3 linked regions of the Saccharomyces cerevisiae S288C genome follow. The gene in region 3 interacts genetically with the main gene of each other region. Each region holds a gene or a part of one and is shown on either strand. Other genes may lie near its edges.

Evidence for each region. Genes that interact genetically often act in the same process or in processes that back each other up.
Region 1: mutations in GPI14 (region 3) and HFA1 together harm fitness more than expected from each alone (negative genetic interaction), as found in Saccharomyces cerevisiae (one large-scale study listed by BioGRID).
Region 2: mutations in GPI14 (region 3) and YGR050C together harm fitness more than expected from each alone (negative genetic interaction), as found in Saccharomyces cerevisiae (one large-scale study listed by BioGRID).

Annotation. Positions count from the first base shown.
Region 1 is NC_001145.3:677,083-686,081, reverse strand, and holds HFA1 (acetyl-CoA carboxylase HFA1), read left to right. Parts: upstream 1-2,517; coding exon 2,518-8,889; downstream 8,890-8,999. Other genes in the region: YMR209C (uncharacterized protein), read left to right, coding at 1-171; ERG12 (mevalonate kinase), read right to left, coding at 284-1,615. UniProt on the Saccharomyces cerevisiae protein: Catalyzes the rate-limiting reaction in the mitochondrial fatty acid synthesis (FAS) type II pathway. Responsible for the production of the mitochondrial malonyl-CoA, used for the biosynthesis of the cofactor lipoic acid.
Region 2 is NC_001139.9:591,104-594,530, reverse strand, and holds YGR050C (uncharacterized protein), read left to right. Parts: upstream 1-2,088; coding exon 2,089-2,445; downstream 2,446-3,427. Other genes in the region: protein kinase FMP48, read right to left, coding at 1-935; SCM4 (Scm4p), read right to left, coding at 2,654-3,217.
Region 3 is NC_001142.9:458,493-462,823, reverse strand, and holds GPI14 (glycosylphosphatidylinositol-alpha 1,4 mannosyltransferase I), read right to left. Parts: upstream 2,443-4,331; coding exon 1,231-2,442; downstream 1-1,230. Other genes in the region: YJR015W (uncharacterized protein), read right to left, coding at 1-103; TMA22 (Tma22p), read right to left, coding at 399-995; YJR012C (uncharacterized protein), read left to right, coding at 2,631-3,029; CAL4 (Cal4p), read left to right, coding at 3,398-4,183. UniProt on the Saccharomyces cerevisiae protein: Mannosyltransferase involved in glycosylphosphatidylinositol-anchor biosynthesis. Transfers the first alpha-1,4-mannose to GlcN-acyl-PI during GPI precursor assembly. Required for cell wall integrity.

The DNA of each region.
Region 1 (8,999 bases), on a different chromosome or scaffold from region 3:
TTTACAGGAGATGAATTAAGTCGGCTGCGTAAAATTCGCGGGTGGAAGGACCTTGTGGAGGAATATGAAGTTGATAGCTCAAAGGGATTGAATGGCTATTTAACTGATTATGAGTCAATGTATCAAGGATACTATGGTCTGCTTAAATTTCATTCTGTCTTCGAAAGCTGAATTGATACTACGAAAAATTTTTTTTTGTTTCTCTTTCTATCTTTATTACATAAAACTTCATACACAGTTAAGATTAAAAACAACTAATAAATAATGCCTATCGCAAATTAGCTTATGAAGTCCATGGTAAATTCGTGTTTCCTGGCAATAATAGATCGTCAATTTGTTGCTTTGTGGTAGTTTTATTTTCAAATAATTGGAATACTAGGGATTTGATTTTAAGATCTTTATTCAAATTTTTTGCGCTTAACAAACAGCAGCCAGTCCCACCCAAGTCTGTTTCAAATGTCTCGTAACTAAAATCATCTTGCAATTTCTTTTTGAAGCTGTCAATTTGCTCTTGAGTAATGTCTCTTCGTAACAAAGTCAAAGAGCAACCGCCGCCACCAGCACCGGTAAGTTTTGTGGAGCCAATTCTCAAATCATCGCTCAGATTTTTAATAAGTTCTAATCCAGGATGAGAAACACCGATTGAGACAAGCAGTCCATGATTTATTCTTATCAATTCCAATAGTTGTTCATACAGTTCATTATTAGTTTCTACAGCCTCGTCATCGGTGCCTTTACATTTACTTAACTTAGTCATGATCTCTAAGCCTTGTAGGGCACATTCACCCATGGCATCTAGAATTGGCTTCATAACTTCAGGAAATTTCTCGGTGACCAACACACGAACGCGAGCAACAAGATCTTTTGTAGACCTTGGAATTCTAGTATAGGTTAGGATCATTGGAATGGCTGGGAAATCATCTAAGAACTTAAAATTGTTTGTGTTTATTGTTCCATTATGTGAGTCTTTTTCAAATAGCAGGGCATTACCATAAGTGGCCACAGCGTTATCTATTCCTGAAGGGGTACCGTGAATACACTTTTCACCTATGAAGGCCCATTGATTCACTATATGCTTATCGTTTTCTGACAGCTTTTCCAAGTCATTAGATCCTATTAACCCCCCCAAGTAGGCCATAGCTAAGGCCAGTGATACAGAAATAGAGGCGCTTGAGCCCAACCCAGCACCGATGGGTAAAGTAGACTTTAAAGAAAACTTAATATTCTTGGCATGGGGGCATAGGCAAACAAACATATACAGGAAACAAAACGCTGCATGGTAGTGGAAGGATTCGGATAGTTGAGCTAACAACGGATCCAAAAGACTAACGAGTTCCTGAGACAAGCCATCGGTGGCTTGTTGAGCCTTGGCCAATTTTTGGGAGTTTACTTGATCCTCGGTGATGGCATTGAAATCATTGATGGACCACTTATGATTAAAGCTAATGTCCGGGAAGTCCAATTCAATAGTATCTGGTGCAGATGACTCGCTTATTAGCAGGTAGGTTCTCAACGCAGACACACTAGCAGCGACGGCAGGCTTGTTGTACACAGCAGAGTGTTCACCAAAAATAATAACCTTTCCCGGTGCAGAAGTTAAGAACGGTAATGACATATTGACAGTTTTCTATACGTAGATATAAATTTGCAAGTTAGGACTAAGAAGCGCACCAGCTAACCAGGAAGTAATATCATGGCTAACTAACCTTTATAGGCATATCGTTGTATCGTTCTTCGATACCCTGTCGAAGATTTCAGTGCGACAGCCAAACGAGGCCCGAAAATTGTCAGTACAATTACAACCGATAAAATACACGTTGAGACAAAACTAGCACAAAACGCCTCTTTAAACATAAATGTGTACGCATTCTGAAAGTGAGATAGAGTACAAGGCTATCGCTAGCTTTCCACGGGAGAAGTAGTAGGAACCTCTCTTTTTATTGCTTATGACAGTAATAATAGCATCATTCATCAATGTTTCCGTTAGGGTAACTAAAATGGGTGGGCGGCAGATGACAAGAAAAGATGAATAATGAAGAATGATAAAGAAGAAGTCATCTTGGGTAGAAAGGGAAGACAATTACACACGGCCAAAGCTGGGGGGCTCGCCGGATACATTCTCACTTTTACATTACCATATTCACAATTACTTGCATTCGAATAGGACAGTACAAGCTCGCGTTATATTTGGATCCTTATCGATTCTATAATATAACGGGCAGCCAGATAGTACGGTTGAAAGGACAGCGCCCTGAATACAGAAAACGCATTTTTGCCCATTCGTATAGGCATTCATCTCGAATAGGTTTGAATTTTCCATCTAGAAGAAGGTATTCCAATTATGTGGATCGAGGCAATATTCATAAACATACTCGATTACCGCCCCAGTTCATAGGGCTAAATACTGTGGAAAGTGCCCAACCTTCAATATTAAGAGATTTTGTTGATTTACGTGGTGGACATACTGTTATTTCAAAGATCTTAATAGCAAACAATGGTATTGCTGCGGTGAAAGAAATGAGATCTATAAGAAAATGGGCGTACGAGACGTTCAATGATGAAAAAATCATTCAATTCGTGGTAATGGCGACACCTGATGATTTACACGCAAATTCGGAGTATATTAGAATGGCAGACCAATATGTGCAGGTACCAGGGGGTACCAACAACAACAATTACGCCAACATAGACTTAATACTGGACGTGGCAGAGCAAACGGATGTGGATGCGGTCTGGGCTGGATGGGGCCATGCTTCTGAAAATCCGTGTCTTCCTGAGCTGTTAGCTAGTTCACAAAGGAAAATACTATTCATTGGTCCTCCTGGACGCGCTATGAGATCATTGGGTGACAAGATTTCTTCCACTATTGTAGCACAAAGCGCTAAAATCCCGTGTATCCCTTGGTCTGGTTCACATATAGACACTATCCATATCGATAACAAGACGAACTTTGTATCTGTGCCGGATGATGTATATGTAAGGGGATGTTGTTCCTCACCTGAAGATGCTTTAGAAAAGGCTAAATTAATAGGATTTCCTGTAATGATTAAGGCATCCGAAGGTGGTGGAGGTAAGGGCATTAGGCGAGTAGATAATGAGGATGATTTTATTGCATTATATCGCCAAGCAGTGAATGAGACACCTGGGTCGCCTATGTTTGTTATGAAAGTTGTCACTGATGCTCGTCACTTAGAGGTACAGTTATTAGCTGACCAATATGGCACTAACATTACATTGTTTGGGAGAGACTGTTCCATACAAAGGCGGCACCAAAAGATTATAGAAGAGGCACCAGTGACAATAACCAAGCCTGAAACGTTTCAAAGGATGGAACGCGCAGCAATTCGTCTAGGTGAATTGGTAGGTTATGTTTCTGCGGGCACTGTCGAATACTTATATTCACCAAAAGATGATAAATTTTACTTTTTAGAACTGAATCCGAGACTACAAGTAGAGCATCCAACGACAGAAATGATATCTGGCGTAAACCTTCCTGCCACTCAACTGCAAATCGCCATGGGCATTCCTATGCACATGATAAGTGATATCAGAAAACTTTATGGTTTAGATCCAACGGGAACTTCGTATATTGATTTTAAAAATTTAAAGAGACCCTCGCCAAAAGGCCATTGTATTTCATGCAGGATCACTTCAGAAGATCCTAATGAAGGTTTCAAGCCCTCCACTGGGAAAATACATGAGCTCAATTTTCGTTCTTCTTCCAATGTTTGGGGTTACTTCTCAGTAGGAAATAATGGTGCTATTCACTCATTTTCAGATTCCCAATTTGGGCACATTTTTGCTGTAGGAAACGATAGGCAAGATGCAAAGCAAAACATGGTTTTAGCTCTAAAAGATTTTTCCATCCGAGGAGAATTCAAAACCCCCATAGAGTACCTGATAGAGCTATTAGAAACTCGGGACTTTGAGAGTAATAACATATCGACTGGTTGGTTAGATGATTTGATTTTGAAAAATTTATCTTCCGATAGCAAACTAGATCCAACGCTCGCTATTATCTGTGGTGCCGCAATGAAAGCATACGTTTTCACAGAAAAGGTGAGGAATAAGTATTTGGAATTATTGCGGAGGGGCCAAGTTCCACCTAAAGATTTTCTTAAAACGAAGTTTCCTGTTGACTTCATTTTCGATAATAATAGATACTTGTTCAATGTTGCTCAATCATCTGAAGAACAATTTATTCTTTCTATCAATAAGTCTCAATGTGAAGTTAATGTTCAAAAATTGTCCAGTGACTGCTTGTTGATCTCCGTTGACGGTAAATGCCATACAGTTTATTGGAAGGACGATATCAGAGGTACAAGACTTTCGATAGACTCCAATACCATATTTTTAGAAGCTGAACTCAATCCCACTCAAGTGATCTCTCCAACTCCGGGGAAATTGGTGAAATATTTGGTCCGAAGTGGTGATCACGTTTTTGCTGGACAGCAATATGCAGAAATAGAAATAATGAAAATGCAGATGCCACTAGTAGCGAAAAGTGATGGTGTAATTGAGTTACTAAGACAGCCCGGTTCCATAATTGAGGCTGGTGATGTCATCGCAAAATTGACTTTGGATTCGCCGTCCAAAGCTAACGAATCGTCTTTATACCGCGGAGAATTACCTGTTTTAGGTCCACCGCTAATAGAGGGTAGCCGACCAAACCATAAGCTCAGAGTCTTAATAAATAGGTTAGAAAATATTCTCAATGGATATCATGAAAACTCTGGAATAGAAACTACTCTAAAAGAGTTGATAAAAATATTGAGAGATGGTAGGCTTCCTTATTCAGAATGGGATTCCCAAATTTCTACGGTACGCAATAGACTACCAAGGCAATTGAATGAGGGGCTGGGAAATCTAGTCAAGAAATCTGTTTCTTTTCCTGCAAAGGAACTGCACAAATTAATGAAGCGCTACTTGGAAGAAAATACAAATGATCATGTAGTTTATGTTGCCTTACAGCCACTTCTTAAAATTAGTGAAAGGTATAGCGAAGGTTTAGCTAATCACGAATGTGAAATTTTTTTAAAGTTGATTAAAAAGTACTATGCTGTTGAGAAAATTTTTGAAAATCATGATATACATGAAGAAAGAAACTTACTAAATCTGCGGAGGAAAGACCTTACAAACTTGAAAAAAATTTTGTGCATAAGTTTATCGCATGCTAACGTAGTCGCAAAGAACAAGTTAGTAACTGCAATATTGCATGAATACGAGCCATTGTGCCAGGATTCCTCTAAGATGTCTTTAAAATTCAGGGCTGTTATACATGATTTGGCAAGTTTGGAATCTAAGTGGGCTAAAGAGGTTGCTGTAAAGGCAAGATCAGTGCTACTCAGAGGGATTTTCCCTCCCATAAAGAAAAGAAAAGAGCATATTAAAACTCTCCTGCAATTGCACATAAAGGATACTGGTGCCGAAAACATTCACAGCAGGAACATATATTCCTGTATGAGGGATTTTGGTAATTTAATACATTCAAATCTGATACAACTTCAGGATTTGTTCTTTTTTTTTGGCCATCAAGATACGGCTCTTTCCAGTATAGCATCTGAAATTTATGCAAGGTATGCCTACGGCAATTATCAATTAAAAAGTATTAAGATTCATAAAGGAGCGCCTGATTTACTAATGTCATGGCAATTCAGCTCATTAAGAAATTATTTAGTCAATTCTGATGGTGAGAGTGATGAGTTTACAAAACTTTCTAAACCTCCCTCAACATCAGGTAAGAGCTCAGCAAATAGTTTTGGTCTTCTTGTCAACATGCGTGCGCTTGAATCTCTGGAAAAGACATTAGACGAGGTATACGAACAAATTCATATTCCTGAGGAAAGACTTTCCAGCGGAGAGAACTCTCTTATTGTTAATATTTTATCTCCTATTCGTTACAGAAGTGAAAATGATCTAATTAAAACTTTAAAAATTAAACTTCATGAAAATGAGAGAGGTCTATCCAAGCTCAAGGTTAATCGTATTACATTTGCATTTATCGCCGCGAATGCGCCCGCTGTTAAATTTTACTCCTTTGATGGAACTACGTACGATGAAATCTCTCAAATAAGAAATATGGATCCATCCTATGAAGCACCGTTAGAGTTAGGAAAAATGTCGAACTATAAAATCAGATCACTACCTACATACGATAGTAGTATACGCATTTTTGAAGGTATTAGCAAATTTACGCCGCTAGATAAAAGGTTCTTTGTCAGGAAAATCATAAATTCCTTCATGTATAATGATCAAAAAACAACCGAAGAAAACTTGAAAGCGGAAATCAATGCTCAAGTGGTTTATATGTTAGAACATCTAGGAGCAGTTGACATCTCAAATTCAGACTTGAATCATATTTTTTTAAGTTTCAATACAGTTCTTAACATACCAGTACATCGTCTCGAGGAAATTGTGAGTACAATTCTAAAGACTCACGAAACCAGATTGTTTCAAGAAAGAATCACAGATGTAGAAATTTGCATCTCTGTTGAGTGCCTAGAAACAAAGAAGCCAGCCCCGCTTAGATTACTTATTTCTAATAAATCTGGGTATGTGGTAAAAATTGAGACATATTACGAAAAGATAGGGAAAAATGGGAATCTGATTTTGGAACCGTGTAGTGAGCAGAGCCATTATAGCCAGAAATCTCTCTCTCTTCCTTACTCGGTCAAGGATTGGCTACAACCTAAAAGGTACAAAGCTCAATTCATGGGTACAACATATGTGTACGATTTCCCAGGTCTGTTTCATCAAGCTGCAATCCAACAGTGGAAAAGGTATTTTCCAAAACATAAGCTGAATGACAGTTTTTTTAGTTGGGTTGAATTGATAGAACAAAACGGTAATTTAATAAAAGTAAACAGGGAGCCAGGCCTTAATAATATAGGGATGGTTGCTTTTGAGATTATGGTTCAGACACCTGAATATCCTGAAGGGCGTAACATGATCGTGATTTCTAATGATATTACCTACAATATTGGATCTTTTGGACCGAGAGAAGATTTGTTTTTTGATAGGGTCACAAATTATGCAAGAGAGAGAGGGATCCCGAGGATATACTTGGCGGCGAATTCAGGAGCTAAATTGGGTATAGCCGAAGAGCTGATCCCTCTATTTCGTGTAGCATGGAATGACCCCTCTGATCCAACAAAGGGTTTCCAGTACTTATACTTAGCTCCAAAAGACATGCAGCTACTGAAAGATTCTGGGAAAGGAAATTCGGTTGTTGTTGAACACAAGATGGTATACGGTGAAGAGAGATATATTATTAAAGCAATAGTCGGATTCGAAGAGGGTTTAGGTGTTGAATGTTTACAGGGCTCGGGTTTAATTGCTGGTGCCACTTCGAAAGCGTATAGAGACATTTTCACTATTACTGCTGTTACTTGTCGGTCCGTTGGTATAGGTTCCTATCTGGTCAGACTAGGACAACGTACTATTCAGGTGGAGGATAAGCCTATCATACTGACGGGTGCATCGGCGATTAATAAAGTTTTGGGTACCGATATCTATACATCTAACCTACAAATTGGCGGAACCCAAATCATGTATAAAAACGGAATAGCGCATTTAACAGCCAGTAATGATATGAAAGCCATCGAAAAAATAATGACATGGTTATCATATGTCCCGGCGAAAAGAGATATGAGTCCTCCACTTCTTGAAACTATGGATAGATGGGATAGGGATGTAGACTTCAAACCTGCCAAGCAAGTGCCATATGAGGCAAGGTGGTTGATAGAGGGTAAATGGGACTCAAATAACAACTTCCAGTCAGGCCTATTTGATAAGGATTCGTTTTTTGAGACATTATCTGGATGGGCCAAAGGTGTAATAGTTGGAAGAGCACGTCTTGGAGGTATTCCCGTGGGTGTTATTGCGGTAGAAACTAAGACTATCGAAGAAATAATCCCCGCTGACCCAGCTAATCTGGATTCTTCAGAGTTTTCCGTTAAAGAAGCAGGACAGGTGTGGTATCCAAATTCCGCGTTCAAAACAGCTCAAACTATAAATGATTTTAACTATGGTGAGCAATTACCATTGATTATCTTAGCCAATTGGAGGGGATTTTCTGGCGGTCAAAGGGATATGTACAATGAAGTACTAAAGTACGGGTCTTTTATTGTTGACGCTCTGGTTGACTACAAACAACCCATACTGATATACATTCCGCCCTTTGGTGAATTAAGGGGCGGATCATGGGTTGTTATAGATCCAACTATTAATCCTGAACAAATGGAAATGTATGCCGATGTTGAATCTAGGGGAGGTGTGTTAGAACCTGACGGAGTAGTTAGCATAAAATACCGTAAGGAGAAAATGATAGAGACGATGATTCGATTAGACTCCACATATGGACATTTGAGAAGAACGTTGACAGAAAAAAAGTTATCTTTGGAAAAACAAAATGATCTTACGAAGAGATTGAAAATAAGAGAGAGACAGTTGATACCAATTTACAATCAAATCAGCATACAGTTTGCAGATTTACATGATAGATCGACTAGGATGCTAGTTAAAGGAGTAATCCGAAATGAGTTGGAATGGAAAAAGTCACGCAGATTTTTATATTGGAGACTGAGAAGGAGGTTGAACGAGGGACAAGTGATCAAAAGACTGCAAAAAAAAACATGTGATAACAAAACGAAAATGAAGTACGACGACCTGTTGAAAATAGTTCAGTCATGGTATAACGATCTGGATGTTAATGATGACAGAGCAGTAGTGGAGTTCATAGAAAGAAATTCGAAAAAAATTGACAAGAACATTGAAGAGTTTGAGATCTCGCTGTTGATCGATGAGCTTAAGAAAAAATTTGAAGACAGAAGGGGAAACATTGTCCTTGAAGAGCTAACTAGGTTGGTGGACAGTAAGCGAAAGAGATAGTTTCGGTATAGGAACAAGTAAGTTAAATAGCCGCTTAGATACCATAATGGTGGCCGAAAAGAGAAAATCTGACATTCTCTTAAGTGTATGTATATAAATGAAAAATAACG
Region 2 (3,427 bases), on a different chromosome or scaffold from region 3:
AAATTCTCCATCGACCTCTCTTTAGCGTTCGATACCTTTAATAAGGTATCAACCATAATCTTGCACAAATGGAAGACATCATAAATGTCGGGTAGATCTTGCCATATGTACTGCCTCGTATGCTGCAGGCTAACGTGTAGGTCTTCTTCATCATTGTAACCACAGGAGAGCCTTGGTACTACGTATTTCCTGTAAATGAATGCAAATGGATCTTTTTCAAACTCATCGAAATTTTTTAGATGCTGAACCTTCTTTGATTTGGAGACTCTAAAAAGGCAATCGCCGAACATCAGATAAAATATGGTGGCACCCAATGACCAATAGTCAGCTTGGTATGTGTTATACAATGGAGCCGATGACCGATCGAAATTCTTCTTAAAACAAGAGTTACTAACGCGGCCAGAGAAAGTTTCTGGCGCCCTGTAATTATCGGTACCAATCTGGAAGTCGTTAGATTTAGGGGATTGGATAGCGTGACCCCAGTCTGCCAACTTGATGTCACCATTTATCGTTAGCAAAATATTTTCTGGTTTGATATCACGATGAGCAATACCCAAGCTGTGAGCAAAGCTGATTGCTGAGCACAGTTGTTTGATTATCTTTTGCATATCAATTTGAATCAAAGATGGAGACGACGGGCTACCTTGACTCTTAGCAATATCTAGAAAGTCATAAAGATCACCACATTCGCAGTATTCTAGCACCATGATGTAGTACGAGTCATCCGTGTAAAAGTCGAGCATCGAACAGATGTTGGGGTGAGGATTACAAGAACTCAAAATCTTCATTACATCATACTCGTTCTTCATGTTGGCTTCTGAAGTTTTGTATTTAGGAGTAATCTTTAAAGCGACGTAGCGGTTATGTGTAGTACTCCATGCTTTATAAACTGTGCTAAATGTTCCTGATTGTATAGATCTTAGTTTTGTATACATTTTTGCTTTTTATTATTCGGTATATGCTGATAATGATGTGCTTATTTAAATGATTGCGTATACGAGTGAGAATTTGATTCGGAGGGTATGAGAGTCGATCTTGAGTCCTATGTTATATGCTTTTTGTCAGTAACGGGTTATTTAATGCTAAGAATAGTTATTATAAAAGGGAAATTTTTTTGTATTAAGAATAGTCATCACTTACATGTGTATATTATATATATATATATATATGTATTGTACTCGTATTATTATTCTTTGGGGAAAGTATTAGTAGGTAGATGCAACTAAGCTCCGATTTTTCCAAAATTAAGTTGTCCCTTATTGCATGGTCCCCTTAATTATCCTTCCTTTATTGTATGTAACATGAAGCTGCATTTTTGTTCTCAGGCAGCATCATCGTTCCCTTCACCTAACCCTTCTAACTTCCTTTTACCTGTTGCAAGCTGTCTCATACCCGCGCTGAAAAGGCTGAGAACTGGGTATTGTCCCAATATTACGCTCGGCTTTTCTTTTCAAAAACTTTGTATTCCAGATACTTCCATGTGCAATTTCCCTAGTGCTCCCTGTACCAAGCCATCGGAGAGGAGATGCCTTCTAGAATTCAAAGCACGTAAGGGGTACAAAAATCGGAACGGGCCGAAGGCCGAAAAGAGACGGCCGTACGTGAGAGCACATGCAAAGTGGTGAACGGGACGTTACGGAGAATTACGGAACCTCTCAACAGAAGATGCGCCAATAGTCCTTCCGAACTAGCTCCACGGGAGGGGTATGAAGAGCAAGCTTGTTTACGCAGCCTCACCACCGCACCGAAAGACCCTCACGACAGAAATGGAGCGCCTTTAATGACGTTCGTCCGCTGCGGGCCAGAACAGCACAGTTTTGCTTCCCCGTTTCTTTTCCACTATTTCGTCACCCGCTCGAGGTGGCTCGCCCGCTCGGAGGCAAGCTGCACATTCATCGAACACGGAGAGGCACGGGCGAGAGAAAAAAAAGCCTATTGACCTAAACGGATGTCATAATGAAAAGAAGGAATCCGGTTTTCCTGGGCATGACTAAGGTAGCACGACTCAACTGGGCCAGATCGGTTGCTTCTTCCGATATACATGCATTAGATTAAGCCAAAGTAAAATCAAAAGAAAATTTAGCGGATATGAAAACCAATCTAATCTCCTCGTTTGCTTTCCGACCGCATGTAAGGTTCGGCTTTCTTGACTTCGGATATAGCTTAAAGTCGATTCTTGACGTCACTTCGCAATATCATTTCATTCCCATTAAACTGGCGTATGGACTTTGCGATCCTTTATTAATAGTTTATCCGGATCCCAGTTTTAGTTTGGCTCAAGCTGCAGGTGAAAAGAAAAAAGTCGTATTCCCTACGTATGAAGATGTTCCGAAACTACTGTTGACGTTTAAGCAGATTATGAATACGTATAGGAAGGGAAGTTTGGGACAGAGACAGAGACAGAGAGTGTACGGGCGAAATGGGAATGAATCACATTCTACGTAATTTGTCTTTGACTTTCTTAGAGATACGTATATAACTTTTTTTTCTGTGTGAAAAATAAATATTCTCTTATCCAATGTGGACAAGAGCCAAAAATACTCTGCTTTGTATATTTACTAGTTTTTTTGGCCTTTTTTTTCGCTAAACATATATATTAGTCTCGCTTAAATAATTGTGATGTTTGAAGGGAACGTGTCACGTGCTTCGTCGTTCATGCTTTGAATCCATCTAGGATACACTTACCAAAGGTAAAAATTGTTATACCGGTTACAATGCTCATGTGCAATGACATGTATGAGTGACATTTTACGCTTCTTTCGGATTCAGGTTTTAATGTTTTGGCGTTGTTCATCTTTGAGAATGGGCATGCAGCTTCCCCATCTTTGACTTCCGGGTGATGTTGGGGTAATTTTTCATCCTTTTGCTTTTCTAAATCATTTTGGTCACGTGTGCATTTTGGGGCTAGCTTGTGATTGAACAGTGATACTAAGTATAGGTAGGCTGCAGATAATGGGGCGACACCAAGTCCGCACAAAAGGTAGTTTGGTCTTTCTCCTGGTGCAGCTAGATAGTAGCTGAGTCCAAAGGCACCAGTAGCTAAACCACCTAAAACGGTGCTCCAGCATCCTAATGTGCACAAAACATTCTTCAAATGTTGAGTTAGAACATTTATTGGGGTGGTAATAGAAATCACGGTAGATGAAGTTAAAATACCGGCGTATAAACCTAATGATGAGACTGCGATACCTTTTACAATAGCTGGGGAGACTTGCATTTGTTTTTTAGTATATGTAAGGATTCTTATGAGTGTTTGTCTTAAACTTGCTTTTCGTGAGGTAAGGGTTAAAAAATCAGCTTGGATATAATTTGGAACAATAGAAACTTCTTTTCTCTCATTTATATACTGATCAACTCACAATTATATAACCTGGTTCTTTTTTTTTTTATTTTTCAACAACACAATAGATTCGAGTATGGGTAAACG
Region 3 (4,331 bases):
CCACGCTGGAAAGGTCATGTATATCGTTGCGTCTGCAATATTCCTCGTCCGCTTCCATATTATTATATGCTGTTGGTTCTATATCATCTAGAGATGAAGTCATAACTATACTTACTTACGGCTGGATTGAGTTGTGTTTTGTACGCCTATGGTCAACAACAAATTTTGCAGTTTTTCGGTTGCAAATAATTTGAATAGGCAATGGGGACTATATTTATTGTCCTACTACGAAGGTTTCAGAGAAGGAACGGCGCAGGCGCACGAGGGCCGGCTGCACAGTATATATGAGCGACGATCTCAAGAACGATATAGGGTTTGACTATCTAACCTACACGCCTGGTTACCAAGTAAAAAGTCCTTTTCTCCCAGAACGGTGCTATTACATATTTATGGATTGCTTACTTGGCAGCTCCTTCTGCAGCAGGCTTTTTCTTCTTCTTAGCATCGATGGTTTCCACTTTGACGTCCTTTAGGCCTTTTTCTTCCAGCAAGGAATGTATGTAAGTTTCCACTTCATCCATCACGTCACCTTGAATGACAACTTCTTCTTTTTTCTCTGCATTTTTCGAGACTGAGCACCCTGTGGCGAACCTAGACGCAAATGTCTTGGCTAGCTTTTTCATGTCGATGTCGAAAACTTCCAGCCCAGAGATAGCGACGATAAACTTTCTCTTGGTCCTAGCTTCTCTTTTAATGATCACTTTCGATGACAGCTTCTTAGCTAATTCTCTTTGTTCCCTGTTTTCCTGTTTTTTTTGAATTTTCAGCAAGTCCTTTTCCAACTTTTCCTCTCTAGCTTCGCCAATACTGGATTCAGCCAGTTTGTTGGTCACGGCTTCCACCTCTTGCGTATTATCGTCAGTACCGTATAGCTTTGCATAAAGGTCTGCGTGGTTTTCAGATAACCAAACTTTACAACGCTTTAATTTTCCTGAAAACTCGCAGTACTCTGGTGGGTAGGAGCAAATTCCACAATAGATGACTTCTCTTAACATTTTATGCAATATGCTTTTCTTTAGTTTAGCTCTTGAACTGTTTCCTTGGGGTGATTTTATCCAGTAGGAATTAATAATTTTTTCACTCACACATCACATCAAGTATCTTTTTCCTTTTTTTTTTCAGCTTTTTTCTCTTTTGGTGGTGCGCTTTTGCATTTTTTTTTTCATATTTACACATTCATTATATGAGTAGATTTATAGAATTGATGTACATGGTGCAAGTTCACGTCAGTCAGTTGTTCTTTTTGTTGGAAACTGTGGGTTGCGTCGGTATCTTAATATCAGTAATAAATTGACCCAGTAGCCACACATTGGTGACGAAAAATAACACGCTTGCAATAAATAGTCCAGGATAGAATACATTCTTGCCTTCGAATTCCAAATAGTAACCTTGGCTTAACCAAATTCCCTGCGTTCCTACCCAAAGCGTGGCCATTAAAAGCCCCTTCTTCCAACCAATGTGCGTTCTTGAGAGGTAAAATGGTAGAAAGATCAGGTACCAAACAAAATATTGCGATGTGCACACTTTATTATATGTCACAAATGCGAACGTCTGCACAAATAAAACCCTCAATAGGTTATCGAATGTGGGATTCCACCATTCAAGACATCCAGTTACTAAAACAAGCAGCAATTGAGGCACAAATGCGTACCTTGAGAGATTGGACTCACCATTTTCCTTATTTGCAGAATCTAAATACAATAGCATGTTCCACACTGAAAAATTGTGTCTGTGATCCGTTCTGTATAAGTGGTACAAGTATGCCTGATCCAGAAACTCGTATCCGTATATCTTGTACATTGCCCAACCACATCCAAGCAAAGTTGTTAGAGTACTCAAACCGATATTGAGTAGCGATGTAAGTTGTGTTCGTGGACCCTGGTTTCTTTTATTGTAGTATATAAAAATTGCTATTGGGATACAATATATGATTGGATATATTTTGAAATGGATAGAAAGACCATATAAGATTCCAGCTAGGGTGTATCTACTCTTTTGTAGAAAAAAAAGCGTGAACATGATCAAACAGCAAAGCACGCTTTCAGCGTTTCCCCTTGTACTGATGGTGATAACCATCGGATTCAATAGCCAAATGCTTTCCAATATTAAAGCTCTTTTTCTGGAGATGGCCTGGTTCAAAAGCTTCATTATAATGAGCCCAGTAACCAAATCGAAAATAACAAATATGACCTTCCCCAAATGAAACCATCCAAAATAATGATTAGGCACTAGCAGCCAACTTAGTAGCGGTGTGTAACGATATGTATCCCTTGCATAAGGTGATTTGCCTTCGTATACATATTTAGCAGCATCATGAAACACAAAATAGTCGATATCAGTGTACCTCACTTTGAAATTAGCGTCCTGGTAAATGCCAAAAAGAAAAAATCCGACTCTTACCAAGAATGACAGTACAGTCAAGCCCCATTCTTCGCCAGTCATCTTTCAACTTTATCACCTTTTACCTTGCTTGTCAGTTGTTGACTTTTTTATGTATATATATTGTGTTTTTTTTTGTCAAGTTCTTACCAACTATTAAAGTTTCTTTTATTATTATCGGAGCCTGTAAAAGAGCTCCACATGTTTCGGTTTACCTCTTGAAAATTGATTGCGAACATAACGAGTCAAGCATGGCAGCAGGTGGTGAACTTAGTTATGAAGAGTTGCTGGATCACATTCTGAATAACAAGCCTATACCTAATATTGTGGAGGTGCCCAATGTTACGCTGGATGAGGGTTTAGCTAGTACTCCTTCATTGAGGCCAAGACCTAGGCCTTGGGAAGGTCAGCTGCAGCATCAATCTCATCAAGGATCATTAGACAAACCCAATATATCTCTGGACATTGATCAAGAAAGCCTAGAAGGCATGACCTCATTAACAAGGCTGTCTGAATGTTACGATATACAGTCTAAGTTACAGATTAATGACAGTGACAACGATAATGATGACAATAACAATGATAACAATAAAGGCGATGGCAATGATGACGACAATAATACAGTAACAGCAAATCCAACAGCTAGGTAAATTATTCACCCAACAGGTATGTAAAAAAATGCATTTATATATTTATATATAGTACTATTATCTTCCCTTTTCTACTTAAATTTTATATCGCTCATTCATACTTAATCATAGACCTGCCCTTTTTGCGTTTAAAAGAATACAAAGGCACATGCATCTCCTTCTTTTGTCTGCATAATGTTTCTAACAAAGTTAGTGCGATATCTGTCGTTTTATCCTTTCCTTTTTATTAATTTCACAGTCTGATCTTTTATTGTGATTAGATAAGCGGCGTTGGTTTTAATTTCACGCTAGTTAAGTCAAAGCAGAATAGAGAATAGCTCTACAAGAAAAAGGACAAATAAGGTAACTGTGATAGCATATAAAGGCGTATGAGTGAAACACGAGAATCTAATGAAAGTACAGTTTCGTCTTTACAAACCAAACTTTTGCTCAATGACGGAATATCCGAAAACAACAAGAAAAATGTTATACTGCTGAATCAAATAGTGCCGTTTATTCTGAATACTTCACATTATATGACGGATCTAATGTATGTCTTGTATTATCTGGCTCAAAAGCAGGAAGACGAAGTATTAAACCATTCTGGCACATTTATTTCACACAAAAAAGAACTCCTTGCACTAAAGAGTGATATTTGTGAACTAATTTACGATTTAAGGACAGGATTCCGCTTATTATTGGATAGTTGTGAGTTAGATCACTTTGAAACTCCTGGAAAATGCCGGCATTTGATCGAGAAGGTTCTAGTCACCTCCATTTATGGAGTGAACAGGTATATTTTCCAGGAATTAAACAGATTAAATGTCGATTTTAAAGATGAATTTATATTACAAATGCAAAATTGTTTATCAGGATTCGTTAATCTCTACAAATTTTTGAACAAGATCCCTATGAGTAAACAACAGTCACAGATGAACGATTTACAGATGAAGATCTTAGTTAATGTGTTACAGAATGAATTGTTACCCATTTGGAAGTTTCAGTTAGATCTTTTGAATTGTAAACTATTTAACGAGCTCTCTAAGGATAAGGGCCTGATTAATATATATAGAAAAGCTACGAACGATAGTGTTATTGATGTTAGCAAGGGTGAACCATTCATCAGATATGTTAATTGGCTAAAGGACCAAATTATTGGTGAAATGACGGTTTAATGCAAGTAATGTAATATAATACAAGAGTATAAAAATAAGGTTCTACACAAACATCTATAAATGTATAGATTATACTAGTTTGGTTGGCTTCTTAGCGTTTCTCTCATCTACGTAAGATGAACGCCATGTGTACACTTTTCACATTTTA